2 linked regions of the Anolis sagrei genome follow. The protein of the gene in region 1 interacts with the protein of each later gene in a pairwise test. Links are inferred from orthologs where the notes say so. Each region holds a gene or a part of one and is shown in the gene's direction. Other genes may lie near its edges.

Evidence for each region.
Region 2: the proteins of ARL6IP1 (region 1) and SHMT2 interact in binary tests that used the Homo sapiens proteins (3 or more experiments, as listed by UniProt). The two-hybrid records come from large-scale screens. The link is inferred for Anolis sagrei from reciprocal best matches to the Homo sapiens genes ARL6IP1 and SHMT2.

What each region holds. Positions count from the first base shown.
Region 1 is NC_090034.1:25,324,789-25,331,939, reverse strand, and holds the start of ARL6IP1 (ADP-ribosylation factor-like protein 6-interacting protein 1), read left to right. Parts: upstream 1-4,146; 5' UTR 4,147-4,217; coding exon 4,218-4,253; intron 4,254-7,151. UniProt on the Homo sapiens protein: Positively regulates SLC1A1/EAAC1-mediated glutamate transport by increasing its affinity for glutamate in a PKC activity-dependent manner.
Region 2 is NC_090022.1:184,965,739-184,972,667, forward strand, and holds the start of SHMT2 (serine hydroxymethyltransferase, mitochondrial), read left to right. Parts: upstream 1-3,925; 5' UTR 3,926-4,024; coding exon 4,025-4,057; intron 4,058-6,929. UniProt on the Homo sapiens protein: Catalyzes the cleavage of serine to glycine accompanied with the production of 5,10-methylenetetrahydrofolate, an essential intermediate for purine biosynthesis.

The sequences.
Region 1 (7,151 bases):
GCTTGACTTCAAAAGGAAACGAACAAGTTTGTTGAGGTACAGAAATGTGATGGTTTCAAAGTTTCTCTTCTCTTAGAGGTACAGATCTTTAATGGTCACGTTCATAACAGTCCTTAAATAACTCTTAGAAGGTCTAATTATTCTAACAAACAGGTCTTAAACTTAGTTCTTTTAGAAAGAGATCTTTCTTTAACAGGTTATTTCAGGCACACGCTTATCCTTTCTTTATGATGGTTCTGTTACAATAAAGATGCTTATTAGGGTTTCCCTTCTTTTCCACAACAGTTACTTTTAATATAAATCATAGAATCATAGAGTTGGAAGAGACCTCATGGGCCATCCAGTCCAACCCCCTGCCAAGAAGCAGGAATATTGCATTCAAAGCACCCCTGACAGATGGCCATCCAGCCTCTGTTTAAAAGCTTCCAAAGAAGGAGCCTCCACCACACTCCAGGGCAGAGAGTTCCACTGCTGAACAGCTCTCACAGTCAAGAAGTTCTTCCTAATATTCAGGTGGAATCTCCTTTCTTGTAGTTTGAAGCCATTCCGTGTCCTAGTTTCCAGGGAAGCAGAAAACAAGCTTGCTCCCTCCTCCCTGTGACTTCCTCTCACATATTTATACATGGCTATGATGTCTCCTCTCAGCCTTCTCTTCTTCAGGCTAAACATGCCCAGCTCTTTAAGCCGCTCTTCATAGGGCTTGTTCTCCAGACCCTTGATCATTTTAGTCGCCCTCCTCTGAACATATTCCAGTTTGTCAATATCTCTCTTCAATTGTGGTGCCCAGAATTGGACACAATATTCCAGGTGTGGTCTAACCAAGGCAGAATAGAGGGGTAGCATTACTTCCCTAGATCTAGACACTATGCTCCTATTGATGCAGGCCAAAATCCCATTGGCTTTTTTTGCCGCCACATGACATTGTTGGCTCATGTTTAACTTGCTGCTCTTGAGCCAGGCGTCCCCCATTCTGTATGTTTGCATTTTGTTTTTCCTGCCAAAGTGGAGTATCTTACATTTGTCACTGTTAAACTTAATTTTGTTAGTTTTGGCCCATCTCTAATCTGTCAAGATCATTTTGAATCCTGCTCCTGTCCTCTGGAGTATTGGCTATCCCTCCCAATTTGGTGTCGTCTGCAAACTTGATGATCCTGCCTTCTAACCCTTCATCTAAGTCATTAATAAAGATGTTGAACAGGACCGGGCCCAGGACGGAACCCTGCGGCACTCCACTCGTCACTTCTTTCCAAGATGAAGAGGAAGCATCAGCCTTTCCCTGTAGTTCTATGACTACAGAATTCTCTCTGGTTCTTTACACAGGAAAGAACCAACCAGTTCTGCAGTTCACCAACCACAGACTGACCGCTTCCAAAATGGCTGTTCTGCCAAGTGGCAGTTGGCTCTGCCCCTATCTCCATAGCAACTCAGCTCAAAGCAAGCTAAGCTGGTTACCATCCCCCAATATTATGCAATACTATATACTTACCATTACTAACCCTTATCTATGTATATAATAAAAGTCAAAGTTTGTATGCGGAGGACAAAAGTGTGGCGGTGTGGCGGTGTATGTGCCAGCATTCTGATTGGCCACCCTGAAAGTTCCAAGATTCTGATTGGCTGCCGCTGTGGTGCTATTTGCATATGATCTCTGATTGGTCAGCTTTACAGGAGCCCCTGGTGGAGAAAAGGTTTCATGACAGAAACGGAGACATGAGAGAAGGAAATTTGCATATGGTCTCAGATTGGCCAGCCTCAATTCCAAGATTCCGAGATGACAAAGAGAGGAAAGGAAAGGCCAGGGGCTCTGTCAGAAAATTACCAATACAGACCAAACTTGGCACACAGAGCCCCCATGACCCACTCTACATCCTGCTGCAGTTTTGGAGGAGGACAGACGATGGATGATGCGACTTCCAGTACCTTCACTCACATTCTGAGACCTCTGCAAATCTCATGCAATGACTGATCAAGAGCATACTTGGCACATAGACCTCTCATGACCCACTTTACGTCCTGGTGTCATTTGGAAAAAAAACGGAGGTGGTTGATGGGACTTGCAGTAACCTCACTCACTTTCTGAGACCACTGAGACCCTCGCCAATGACTAATCAAGACCAAACTTGGCACACGGAGCCCCAATGACCCGCTCTACACCCTGGTGCAGTTTGGAGGACAGACCATGGATGATGGGACTTCAAGTACCTCTACTCCCTTCCCAAGATTGCTGCAACCCTCATCTAATGACCGTTTAAGACCAAACTTGGCACACACAGCCCCCATGACCCACCCTACATCCCAGTGCTGTTTGAAGGATGGACGATGGAGGATGGGACTTGCAGTACGTTCACTCACTTCCTGAAACCATAGCAAAACTCATTCAAAAACGAATAAAGACCAAACTTGGAACAGAGAGCCCCCATGGCCAAGTCAACATTCTGGTGAGGTTTGGGGGAGTACAGACTATGGATGATGGGACTTCAAGTACCTCCACTCACTTCCCAAGACCTCTGCAACACTCATCTAATGACCGATCAAGACCAAACTTGGCACACAAAAACCCCATTACCCACTCTCCATCCTGGAGCAGTTTGGAGGAGGATGGACCACAGATAATGGGACTCACAGTACCTTCACTAACTTCCTGAGACAACTGCGAGTCATATAAATAACTGATAAAGACCAAACTTGATACACAATTCCTTTCTTAAATAACCCGGGCAGCGCTGGGTCCCCAAGCTAGTCTATAATAATACATAACTGCAAGAAAAAATGTACACTTCATCACACTTGGGTATCTCAAAAGTCTCACGCCTGCTTAATATCAACATTTTGTTTTGGCCAATGACCAAAATACAAACGACAACAAAAAGGTGTTGTGTTCATCCTGTGAAGTGACCAACCCCCTTCTTTTCTTCCTTATTTCTTCCCTTCATTTCCTTTTTTTCCTGTCCTTCCTTTTTTGCTTCTTCCCTTTCCTTTTTCTTTCTTCCCTTCCTTCCCTTTTTCCTTCCTTCCGTTTTTCTTTCCCTTCTTCCTTTCCTTCCTTTTTTCTTACTTACCTTCATTCCCTTTTTCCTTCTTACCTTCCTGCCCCTTTTCCTTCCTTCCTTCTTTCTTTCTTTCTTTCTTTCCTTCCTTTTTATTTCTTTACCTTCCTTCCCTTTTTCTTCCTTCTTTCCTTCAAGGCTTGCATTTGGTGTTTGCCATTTCCTAGCTTTTCCCCAATTCAAAGTGGCTCAGAAACCTTTTGTTTCTATGTAGTGGTGCCTGTGGTTGATAAGAAACAAAATGCTTCTTTTCCAATTTTGTAAAGCAGACCTTTACAAAATGTCCAGTCTCGATAAAATAGTGAAGAGTAGAGACATCAGACTGGCAACAAAGATCCGCCTAGTCAAAGCCATGGTATTCCCTGTAGTCACCTACGGATGTGAGAGCTGGACCTTAGGGAAGGCTGAGCGAAGGAAGATTGATGCTTTTGAGCTGTGGTGTTGGAGGAAAGTGCTGAGAGTGCCTTGGACTGCGAGAAGATCCAACCAGTCCATCCTCCAGGAAATAAAGCCCGACTGCTCATTGGAGGGAAGGATACTAGAGACAAAGTTGAAGTACTTTGGCCACATCATGAGACAGGAAAGCCTAGAGAAGACAATTATGCTGGGGAAAGTGGAAGGCAAAAGGAAAAGGGGCCGACCAAGGGCAAGATGGATGGATGGCATCCTTGAAGTGACTGGACTGACCTTGAGGGAGCTGGGGGTGGTAACGGCCGACAGGGAGCTCTGGCGTGGGCTGGTCCACGAGGTCACGAAGAGTCGGAGACGACTGAACGAATGAACAACAACAAAGCAGACCTGGGCCAACTTGAGCTCTCTTTCCAGTGTTTTGGACGTCAACTCCCACAATTCTTCACAGCCTCGGCCCAACCTTAAAGGGCTGGGGAGCAAAAGGAAGAGGCCTGAGGATGTGAGGAATTGTGGGAGCTGAAGTCCACAACATCTGGAGAGAGGGCCCAAGCTGGCCTAGGCTTACACTACAGGGAGCCGCGCCTTCGTTTTGAAAATGTAAATAGGTAGGCGATTGGCCCGGAGGCTAACAAGACGACGCTGATTGGCTGGTGGGGTTTGGTTCCCCTGACCAATGGGAGGCGAGGTGAGAGAAAAGACTTGCCTTTCTTGGGGGCGGTGCCGGGCGGTTGACGGTTGGAGCTGTCGAAGGCGGACAAAATGGCGGAAGGCGACAACAGGAGCACCAACCAGCTGGTGGGTGAACGGTCTATTCTTCTCTCTCTCTTCTAGGCAAGGGGGAGGCGGCGTGGCCTCAGTCGTGGTCCCCATCCAGGGCGGGTTTGGCGAGACTTAAGGGCCCAGGCTGAGGCCTCGTTTCCGGGCTCAGGCCCAGAGCTTGCTTGGCCTTGAATAATGGCCCTTTGCTTTCAGGGTCTCTCTTTCAGTAGAATTGGTGAATGCAGGGATCATGGCACGGAGTAGATATTCTGGGGTGCGCGGTTAGGTCCATGTCGAATAGTAGAGTAGACGCCCAGTTAAGAGACCCCAGGGGCCATCCAGTCCAACCCCCTTCATGCAGGAAAAACACCATCAAAGCACCCCCAACAGATGGCCGGCCACCCAGCCTTTTTAGTAATAATAATTATAATAATAATAGCAGAAACCCCAAGGACTATCCAGTCCAACCCCATTCTGCCCTGCAGGAAAAGCACCCTCACAACACCCCCGACAGATGGTAATCCAGCTTTTCTAATAATACTAATAATACATTATATTATATAATACTAATACCTGTAGTATAATATACTGGTCGCGTATTATATATGTTGTGGTATAATAATATAGTACAATATAATGATATAATAATAATTGTATATTATATATTACATGTAATATTACTAATAGTATTGCAGTATAGTGGTATAGTAGAATATAGTAATATGTAATACTAATATTGTGCTAGGCTAATAGTATAGTATATTGTATAGACATATAATATTGATAATAATATTGTAATATAGTAATGCTAATGTATTAAATAGAATTACTACTGTTAATATTTAATCACATATACTGTTTTATTGTTGTATGTTTGTGTATTTTAAGTTGTAATGTTCCTTTATTGTGAGCCGCTCTGAGTGTCCGTATGGAGAGATAAAGCAGGATATAAATAAATAGATAGATAGATAAATGGAGCAACCCCAGAGACCATCCAATCCAACTCTCTTCTGCCTTCATACAGGAAACGCCCAATCAAAGTACCCCCAAGAGATGGCCATCCAGCCTTTGCAATAATAATAATAATAATAATAATAATAATAATAATAATAAGAGCTATCCCAGGGACCACCCAGTCCAACTGCCTTCTGCCATGCAGGAAAAACACAATCAAAGTACCCCCAACAGATGGCCATCCAGCCTTTGTAATAATCATCATCATCATAGCAGAAACCTCAGAGATCATCCAGTCCAACTAACTTCTGCCTTCATGCAGGAAAATCACCATTAAAGTACTCGCAACAGATGGCCACCCAGCCCTTCTAGTAATAATAATAATAATAATAATAATAATAATAATAATAATAATAATAGGAGCAACCCCAGGGGCCACCCAGTCCAACCCCCTTCCACTCCACCTTCATGCAGGAACAGCACAATCAAATCACCCCTGACAAATGGTCATCCGGCATCTTTTTAAATCTTCCAAGGAAGAAGTTTCCACCAGATTCCGAGGCAGAGAGTTCCACTGCTGAACAGCTCTCACAGTGAGAAGTTCTTCCTCATGTTCATTGAAATCTCCTTTCCTGTCATTTGAGCCCATTGCTCCATTGAGTCCTAGTCTCCAGGGCAGCAGAAAACAAACCTGCTCCCTCTTCCTTTTTACATCCTTTCACATATTTATACAGTGGCTTAACATAAAAGCATTTGTACACGATTTCAAATATACAAATATGTAAACATTAAAACAGGATTAAATATAAACAGTATACAGGGTTAGTCAAAATGCATAGGCCAATAAGCTATTCAATTGAATGGCTTATTGGCCTATGCATTTTGACTAACCCTGTATATTTAAAATCCCTAGTTAAAAACCATTGAAACATATCCAGAGTTAAAAACCACTATACCATACGCTCTGTATTGACTTGATACTAGTTTTAAAACATAGTGATTAGAACCAATTAGAAAATGCCATTTATAACCCAGGAACAAAAATTGTGTTACAGAGTGTTATTACTACTGCATTGATTTATAGCCCTCTTTATTCTCTTAATGAGACCCAAAGCGGCTGGTTATGAGAGGAGTCCGGGTGGCCTCATGGTTTGAGCATTGGACCAGGGCTCTGGAGGCTCAGCCATGGAAACCAACTGGGCAAGTCACCCTCTTAGCCACCAATAACCTTCTTTGGTGGCTGAGAGGATGAACAAGTGTTATTGGCCTGGCCCTTCTGAACAGATCTTGCTAAATTGTGACCTTAGGATCGCTGTAAGTGGAGAAGGACTCAGAGGCACACCAGAACATTGTGTCCTGTGAAAGGTTGTGTCCAATAACACATGTTCATCTTTAAGGCATAAAACTTTTGATTTTGATGGCCCAGAGTGAAGGTATGCCAGGTGGAGGTGCATTTCCAATTGCCTTTTGAAACTCCTAGGATGCTTTAAAATCAGGGGAGAGGTTAATGCATGAAGTGAGAGAAGGGAGAAAAAGATGTTTTGTCAAGTAGGTTTTCTGATAAATGAGCATAGGGTAAGTAGGTTAGCCTCCTCTCCCCTTCTACATACAGGTCGTACCCGAGTTACAAACACCCAACTTACAAATGACCCACAGTTAAGAATGGGACTGAGACAACAGGAAGTGAGGGGAATCTAGTCATGGAAGAGTTATTATCATGGGGAAACAAGATCCCCACTGAAGGTTTATCTGGAATTGTTATTTCCACAACTAGACACATTTTTCAAAACCCAGTTATCATAGGGACAGAAAAGGAGGCGAAATCCTCTAAAACAGTGCCACAAGCAGCAACAGAACACCACAGGAGTGTTCGCCCTTCCCTATGTGATCCAAAACACACTCTCTCTCACACACACACATATATATGTATGTATATGGACTTATACTTTAAAATATATCTGTTCCAGCATGCATACAAAT
Region 2 (6,929 bases), on another chromosome or scaffold:
TTTTGCTACCTTAATTTTTGTTATCTATCCAGCCTCCTACTTTTAAGAATTAAAAATCAACAGGCAATGAGTTTGAGATTTATAGAGTAGTTCTTGCTGTTATATGTTTAGTTTTGTGTGTTGTACAGATTAAGATTATTGTTTTAGATACAGTTCTATTTGTTGTTCTAAGTCTATAGTTTTATATACCCCCCCCCCCCAAAAAAAACCCCAATTTCTTTTTGTTTTGAAGGTGGCATTCCTCTTGCTTTTTCTAGGGGTCCTTCAACATAGCCATATAACCCAGAGTATCAAGGCAGATAATCCACAATATCTGCTTTAAACTGGGCTATCTGAGTCCACACTGCCATATAATCCAGTTCAATGTGGATTTTATACAGCTGTGTAGAAGGGGCCTAATTCTTTTGTCTGTTTCTGTTTCCATGTTTGCATTTCTCTTCTTTTGCATAAAAATCACCTGCAATTCCCTCCTGTATCTTTTACAGTGGTGGCAGTGGTGGGATTGGAAAAAGAAAGGTTCCCCCCGTCACATATGCGATAAGTGACCCTTATCTGTGTTACAGTGGTGGCAGCGGTGGGATCCTTTTTCCCCCCAATTATTTTTATACAAAAAATGTTTGGGGTTTCAAGTCTGACTCCACTGCAGTATTATTATTATTATTATTATTATTATTATTATTATTATTTGAAACACAACAAGATGAATCCACAGCAGACACTCTGCTGGCTGTTGAATTGGATCACACGTCGGACACTTCCCAAGTGTCTAGGACTGTGTGATGTATTGGCGAATAATGCATGCAGATCCCAGTAAAGCGGCCTTCTGCAACTGGCAGATGGTAATTTTGTCAGCACCGATTGTGTTTAAGTGCAGGCCAAGGACTTTAGGCACTGCACCCACTGTGCTGATCACCACTGGGACCACCTTGACTGGTTTGTGCCAGAGTCTATTATTATTATTATTATTATTAGTAGTAGTAGTAGTAGTAGTAGTAGTACTGGTAGTAGAATGCTGGACTAAATATCCACAATGGTTTTTATTATATCATGTTAGCCCCAAAAGGCAGCACTGCCCCTGAATCAATTCAAAAGTTAAAGGCAGAAGTTCACCATATGAAGCAACTCTCCAGCACTTATTTCTCAACTAGGAAAACTTTTGTTGTTGATTTCATGTGCTCTTAAGTCAACTCTAATTTATGACAACCCTATCAAAGCATTTTCTTGGCAAGATGTGTTCAGGGGAAGGCCGCCTTTGCCTTCCTCTGAGAATGAGTACATTTTCCCCCAAGTTAACCTTTGGGTTTGCAAGGCAAAGTGGGAATTCAGATACTAGTTCTTGTCGAACACCCAGGCTGGATCTACACTGCCAAATAATCCATTTTCTGAATCCAGATTATCAGTCTGGAACTGGTTTACATGAGTCTATACTGTAATATAACTAATGAAAAGCCGATGATTTGGATTCAGAAATAGGATTATTTGGCAGTGTAGATGAGGACTACTATACCACACTCGATGTATAGGAAACTACACCACTGAATTGCGTATAAAGCAAAAACCCAACTAGGATTATACTGTATTATATTAATGTAAGGCAAAATCATAGAACAGACCCCCTCCATCTTAAAAATAATAATCTGGAAATAGTCCTGTACTTCTAACTGTCATAATAAACAGTAATTAAAGAGGTGAAGCCATCTTCAGCAAAGGCAAACCTGTGCTGGGTTGAATTTTCATCTAGCCCTGCAGCTGTTAAAAGTGCAAGAGGTTAGTGAGGGAGTGAGAGAGAGAGAAATATAAAATAGCAATCCTATGGATCAGTACCTGTTTAATCTCCCGTGTGGACTGACAAACAGCACTCCTTGCTATAATATTTAGCTATGGCACTAAATGACAAAATGCTTTTCTGCCTCAACATTCAATTTGAGTGTATATGATCTAGAACTGGAGTCCTCAAACATTTTAAGCAAAGGGCCCGTTTATGGTCCCTCAGACTGTTGGAGGTGCATCTACACTGTAGAATTAAGGCAGTTTAAAACCACTTTGACTGCCATGACTCAGTGCTATGGGATCCAAGGAGTTGGAATTTGGTGAGGCATGAGTACTCTTCAACGGAGCAAAACTACAGCTCCAATGATCCTATAGCATTGAGTCATGGCAGTTAAAAATGGGAAATTCTACAGTGTAGCAGTGGTTCTCAACCTGTGGGTCCCCAGATGTTTTCACATTCAACTCTCAGAAATCCTAACAGCTGGTAAACTAGCTGGGATTTCTGGGAGTTGTAGGCCAAAACTCCTGGGGACCCATAGATTGAGAAGCACTGGTGTAGAGTCAGCATGTGATAGTGGCCCCTTTTCTTTCTGCCGGTTCAGTGTAAACTAACTTTGGTGCTATCTACACAACCGTATCATGCAGTTTGAAACTGCATTATATGTTCAATATAGACTCATTACATGACTCTACAATGAGCATATAATGTGGTTTAACTGAATTGGGGTCCCTTCTACACTGCCATATAATATCATTTGCACTGGATTATATGGTAGTGTAGACTCATATAATCCAGTTCAAAGCAGTTAATGTGGATTATCTGCTTTGATAATCTGGATGCTATGGCAGTGTAGAAGGGGCCAGATGACTCTACACCAGGGGTCCTCAAACTTTCTAAACAGAGGGCCAGGTCACAGTCCCTCAAACAGTTGGAGGGCCGGATGATAATTTGAAAAAAACAAACAAACCATGAATGAATTCCTGTGCACAATGCACATATCTTATTTATAGTGCAAAAAAACACTTAAAAACAATAAAATAATTAAAATGAAGAACCATTTTAATAAATAGAAACTTATTAGTATTTCAATGGGAAGTGTGTGCCTGCTTTTGGCTGATGAGATAGGATTGTTGTTGTTGTGTGCTTTCAAGCCATTTCAGACTTAGGTTGATCCTGAGCGAGGGCCGGGTAAATGACCTTGGAGGGCCGTATCTGGCCCCTGGGCCTTAGTTTGAGGACCCCTGCTCTGACTATATAATTCGATTTGAAATTGCATCATTCGACCGTGTTAAATGAAAACTTTGTATCATGCCCAAAATTATCAGTACATACTTATTTAGGCGATCCCTCGTAATCCGAGGATGATGGTCCTCCAAGTGTAGTATCCTGGCGGTAGGTGACTGTGGAGCTCTATTCTTGATCTGCATCTTCTCCCACAGTGAGGGCATCAGTTTCCAGGTGGAAGGCAGTCCCGGTCGGGGTTGGCTTGAAGCACCTTCCTCTTGGCACGTTTCTCTCTTTTGCCCTCCATTCATACCTCTTCAAATTTTGCAGCACTGCTGGTTACAGCTGAACTCCAACTGGAGCGCTACTGTATGTATAATACTACCTCCAGACTATGTGTTTAAGGGCCCTTCCTCACAGCCCTAAATCCCAGAATATCAAGGCAGAAAATCTCACAATATCTGCTTTGAAATGGGTTATCTGAGTCCACATTCTGATAATGTGGTATTTTCTGCCTTGATATTCTGGGATATAGGGCTGTGTGGAAGGGCCCTTAGGGTATATATGTATATAACCAATACATATAATACTTAGACTTGGATCCTCTCTCCAAGAATATCTCATGATGTATGCATGGGCAAATACCATAAACACTCCATAATAATAATAATAAATCAGTAGTAATAGTCTGCAATCACCACCTCTTCTTGCTCGAAGCATTGAGTGCTTTAGTTGCACTTTCCTGCCTTAGAACTTGGACTCCAAGCCTAGGCTTCTGTTTCATAGAGAGGAGACTCCAGGCGCCTAGCCCCGCCCCTCCCTGCGAGAGGCGTTCCAGGCCACCAGAAACTACACTTCCCGTGATGCCTTGTGCACCCGGTAGTGGCTGGCATTGGCGGAGAGCGGCCCACGTGCTCCCCTTCCTCCAGCCCTGGGTCCTCCCTCCTGCTTGCCACCAGGGCTGGCTGGGACTCCCTTTGCCCGCCAGCAACAGCTGAGCCCAAGACTTGGTGCTGCTCTGCTCCTGCTATGTTGCCTTTCCCTTTGAAACACTTGGCCAAGGTAAGGTGCAGCATGCATGTATCTGTATGAATGTATTTGCATTTGTGTATATATAAGTGTTAGATCTGCATTCCTTGAAGGGGGACCAGCTTCCTTGGGATCCAAGGAGCCAGAAAGGGTTGGGGGTGGTGGTCTTAAGTTCCACGGGGTGCATCTGCACTGTAGAATTAATGCAGTTTGACTCCACTTGAACTGCCATGGCTCAGTGCTATGGGATCTTAGGGGTTGGAGTTTGGTGAAGCACCAACATGCTTTGGGAGAGAAGGCTAAAGATCTTGTGAAACTACAGCTCCCAAGATTCCGTAGCATTGAGCCATGACAGTTAAAGTGGTGTCGAACTGCTTTAATCCTATGATCTAGATGCCCCCATAGGGCCTTAGGTATTTTGCCTGTCTCAGGTCCAAAGTGGGGCCTGATCCTAGTCTTCCTCCTGTCCCATTGGCTTCCCTCTGCATTTGGGGCAGAAGGAGGGTTTCAATGTTTGGCCTGTACAGCTTCCCATGGGCAGAGCATTTTTCTCCCACTGATTCCCCCCCCCCCATGAAACAACAACAACAACAACAACAAAGTTTTATTTAACTGAAAAAAGACTTAAAATTACTAAATTTCCATGGGTAGAGCATTTTCCACCCACCGATACAACAACAATATTTTATTTAACCGGCAAAAAATACTTTAAAATACTAAATTTTCATGGGTAGAGCATTTTTTGTCCACTGATGCAACAACAACAAAGTTTTATTTAACTGGAAAAAATACTAAAAAATACTAAATTTCCATGGGCAGAGCATTTTTTGCCCACCGATACAACAACAACAACAACAACAACAACAACATTTTATTTAACTGGCAAAAAATACTTAAAAATACCAAATTTTCATAGGTAGAGCATTTTTCGTCCACTGATGCAACAACAACAACAACAAAGTTTTATTTAACTGGAAAAATACTAAAAAATACTAAATTTTCATGGGTAGAGCATTTTTCGCCCACCGATGCAACAATAACAACAACAATAACAACAACAAAGTTTTATTTAACTGGAAAAATACTAAAAAAAATACTAAATTTCCATGGGCAGGGCATTTTTTGCCCACTGATACAACAACAACATTTTATTTAACTGGCAAAAAATACTTAAAATTACTAAATTTCCATGGGCAGAGCATTTTTCACCCAGGGATGCAACAACAGCAAAAAACAACATTTTATTTAACTGGCAAAAAATACTTAAAAATACTAAATTTTCATGAGTAGAGCATTTTTCGCCCACTGATGCAACAACAACAACAAACTTTGTTGTTGTGGTTGATGTTGTTGTTGAACAACAACATCCACAACAACAAAGTTTTATTTAACTGGAAAAACTACAAAAAATACCAAATTTGGGGTGTTCTTTTTTTGTAGTTTTTCCAATTAAATAAAACTTTGTTGTTGTGGTTATTGTTGTTGTTGGGTAGAGCATTTTTCGCCCACTGATGTCCCTCCAATGCAGTGTTTCTCAACCTGGGGTCCCCAGATGTTCTTGGCCTACAACTCCCAGAAATCCTAGCCAGTTTACCAGCTGTTAGGATTTCTGGGAGTTGGAGGCTAAAACATCTGGGGACCCCAGGTTGAGAAGCACTGCTCCAATGCAACAACAATGACAACAAAGTTTTATGTAACTGTAAAAATACTACATATTGTTAATATTCAATATTCATATTAAAATATTAAACCAGATATAAGAGCAAATGCGCAAATGGAAAAACAGCTGGCCTCTTCTTTCTATTGCAACCATCACAACAACAAAAGTTGCACTTAAGAGAATACCCTTTAATATTTTTTTTAAATTTACAAGAAGTAAAAACAAACATATCATAAAGGACAAGGTATGCAATGTAGATGGAAAAACTGATAACTTGTTTGTATTGCAACTACCACAACAAAAAGTATATATATGCACGCAAATGTGAGTAGATCAATTGGTACCACTCTGGCGGGAAGGTAACAGCTCTCCATGCAGTCATGCTGGCCACATGACCTTGGAGGTGTCTATGGACAACACCAGTTCTTCTACTTAGAAATGGAGATGAGCACCATCCGCCAGAGTTGGACATGACTGGACTTAATGTCAGGGAAAAACCTTTACCTTTATCTTATATTAAAGGGAACCTTTTTAACACTATAAAGGTAAAGTGTATGATGTGGATGGAGATACAGCTGGTCATGTCTTTCCATTGCAACAATTACCGCAAAAAGCTTTAATTCATAAAGAAAAATATTAAATTAATTTTTTCTTAGTAAAAGGTAAGAGCAAATGTATTCGAAAAGACATAGGATGTGGGTACAGAAACAGCACAGCAATCACTTCTTTCCATTGCAACCAGCACAACAAAAAAGTTTTGTTCCTCTACTGAAGTTCTGTTTCCAGGCACTCTTGCTTTCCTCAACCATTTCCAATGGGAATGTTAAATTGTGCAAGTAAAGAAAAGCAAAGGAGAAAGGAGTTTATATCACCGCCGGAGGGTTATAGCAGGCAATGTGATGACAACACAGATCTCCTTTTTGGGGAGCCATTCTGCCGCTCCATGAGTATTTAATTCTATCTAATGGCTCTTGGATTGCGGCACAAAGCGCAGGGAAGAGTTATCTGGATCTTCAAGACTGAGACGCTATTATCAGCCGAAAACCTCTCCGGGAAGCCATGCTCTGCTGGCTTTTATGGGCTAATTTTTGCAGCTTCTCTTTTCTCTTGCTGTCCTATCTGACATTGCAGCTCTGAGGACAGAGAGGGAGAGAAATGACAAAAGAGGCCTTTGGAGCGGATAAGAGGGAGGGTAGGGAGAGGTACAAAAAACAAAGCAAAATAAAAAACAACTTGTGCGCCTGC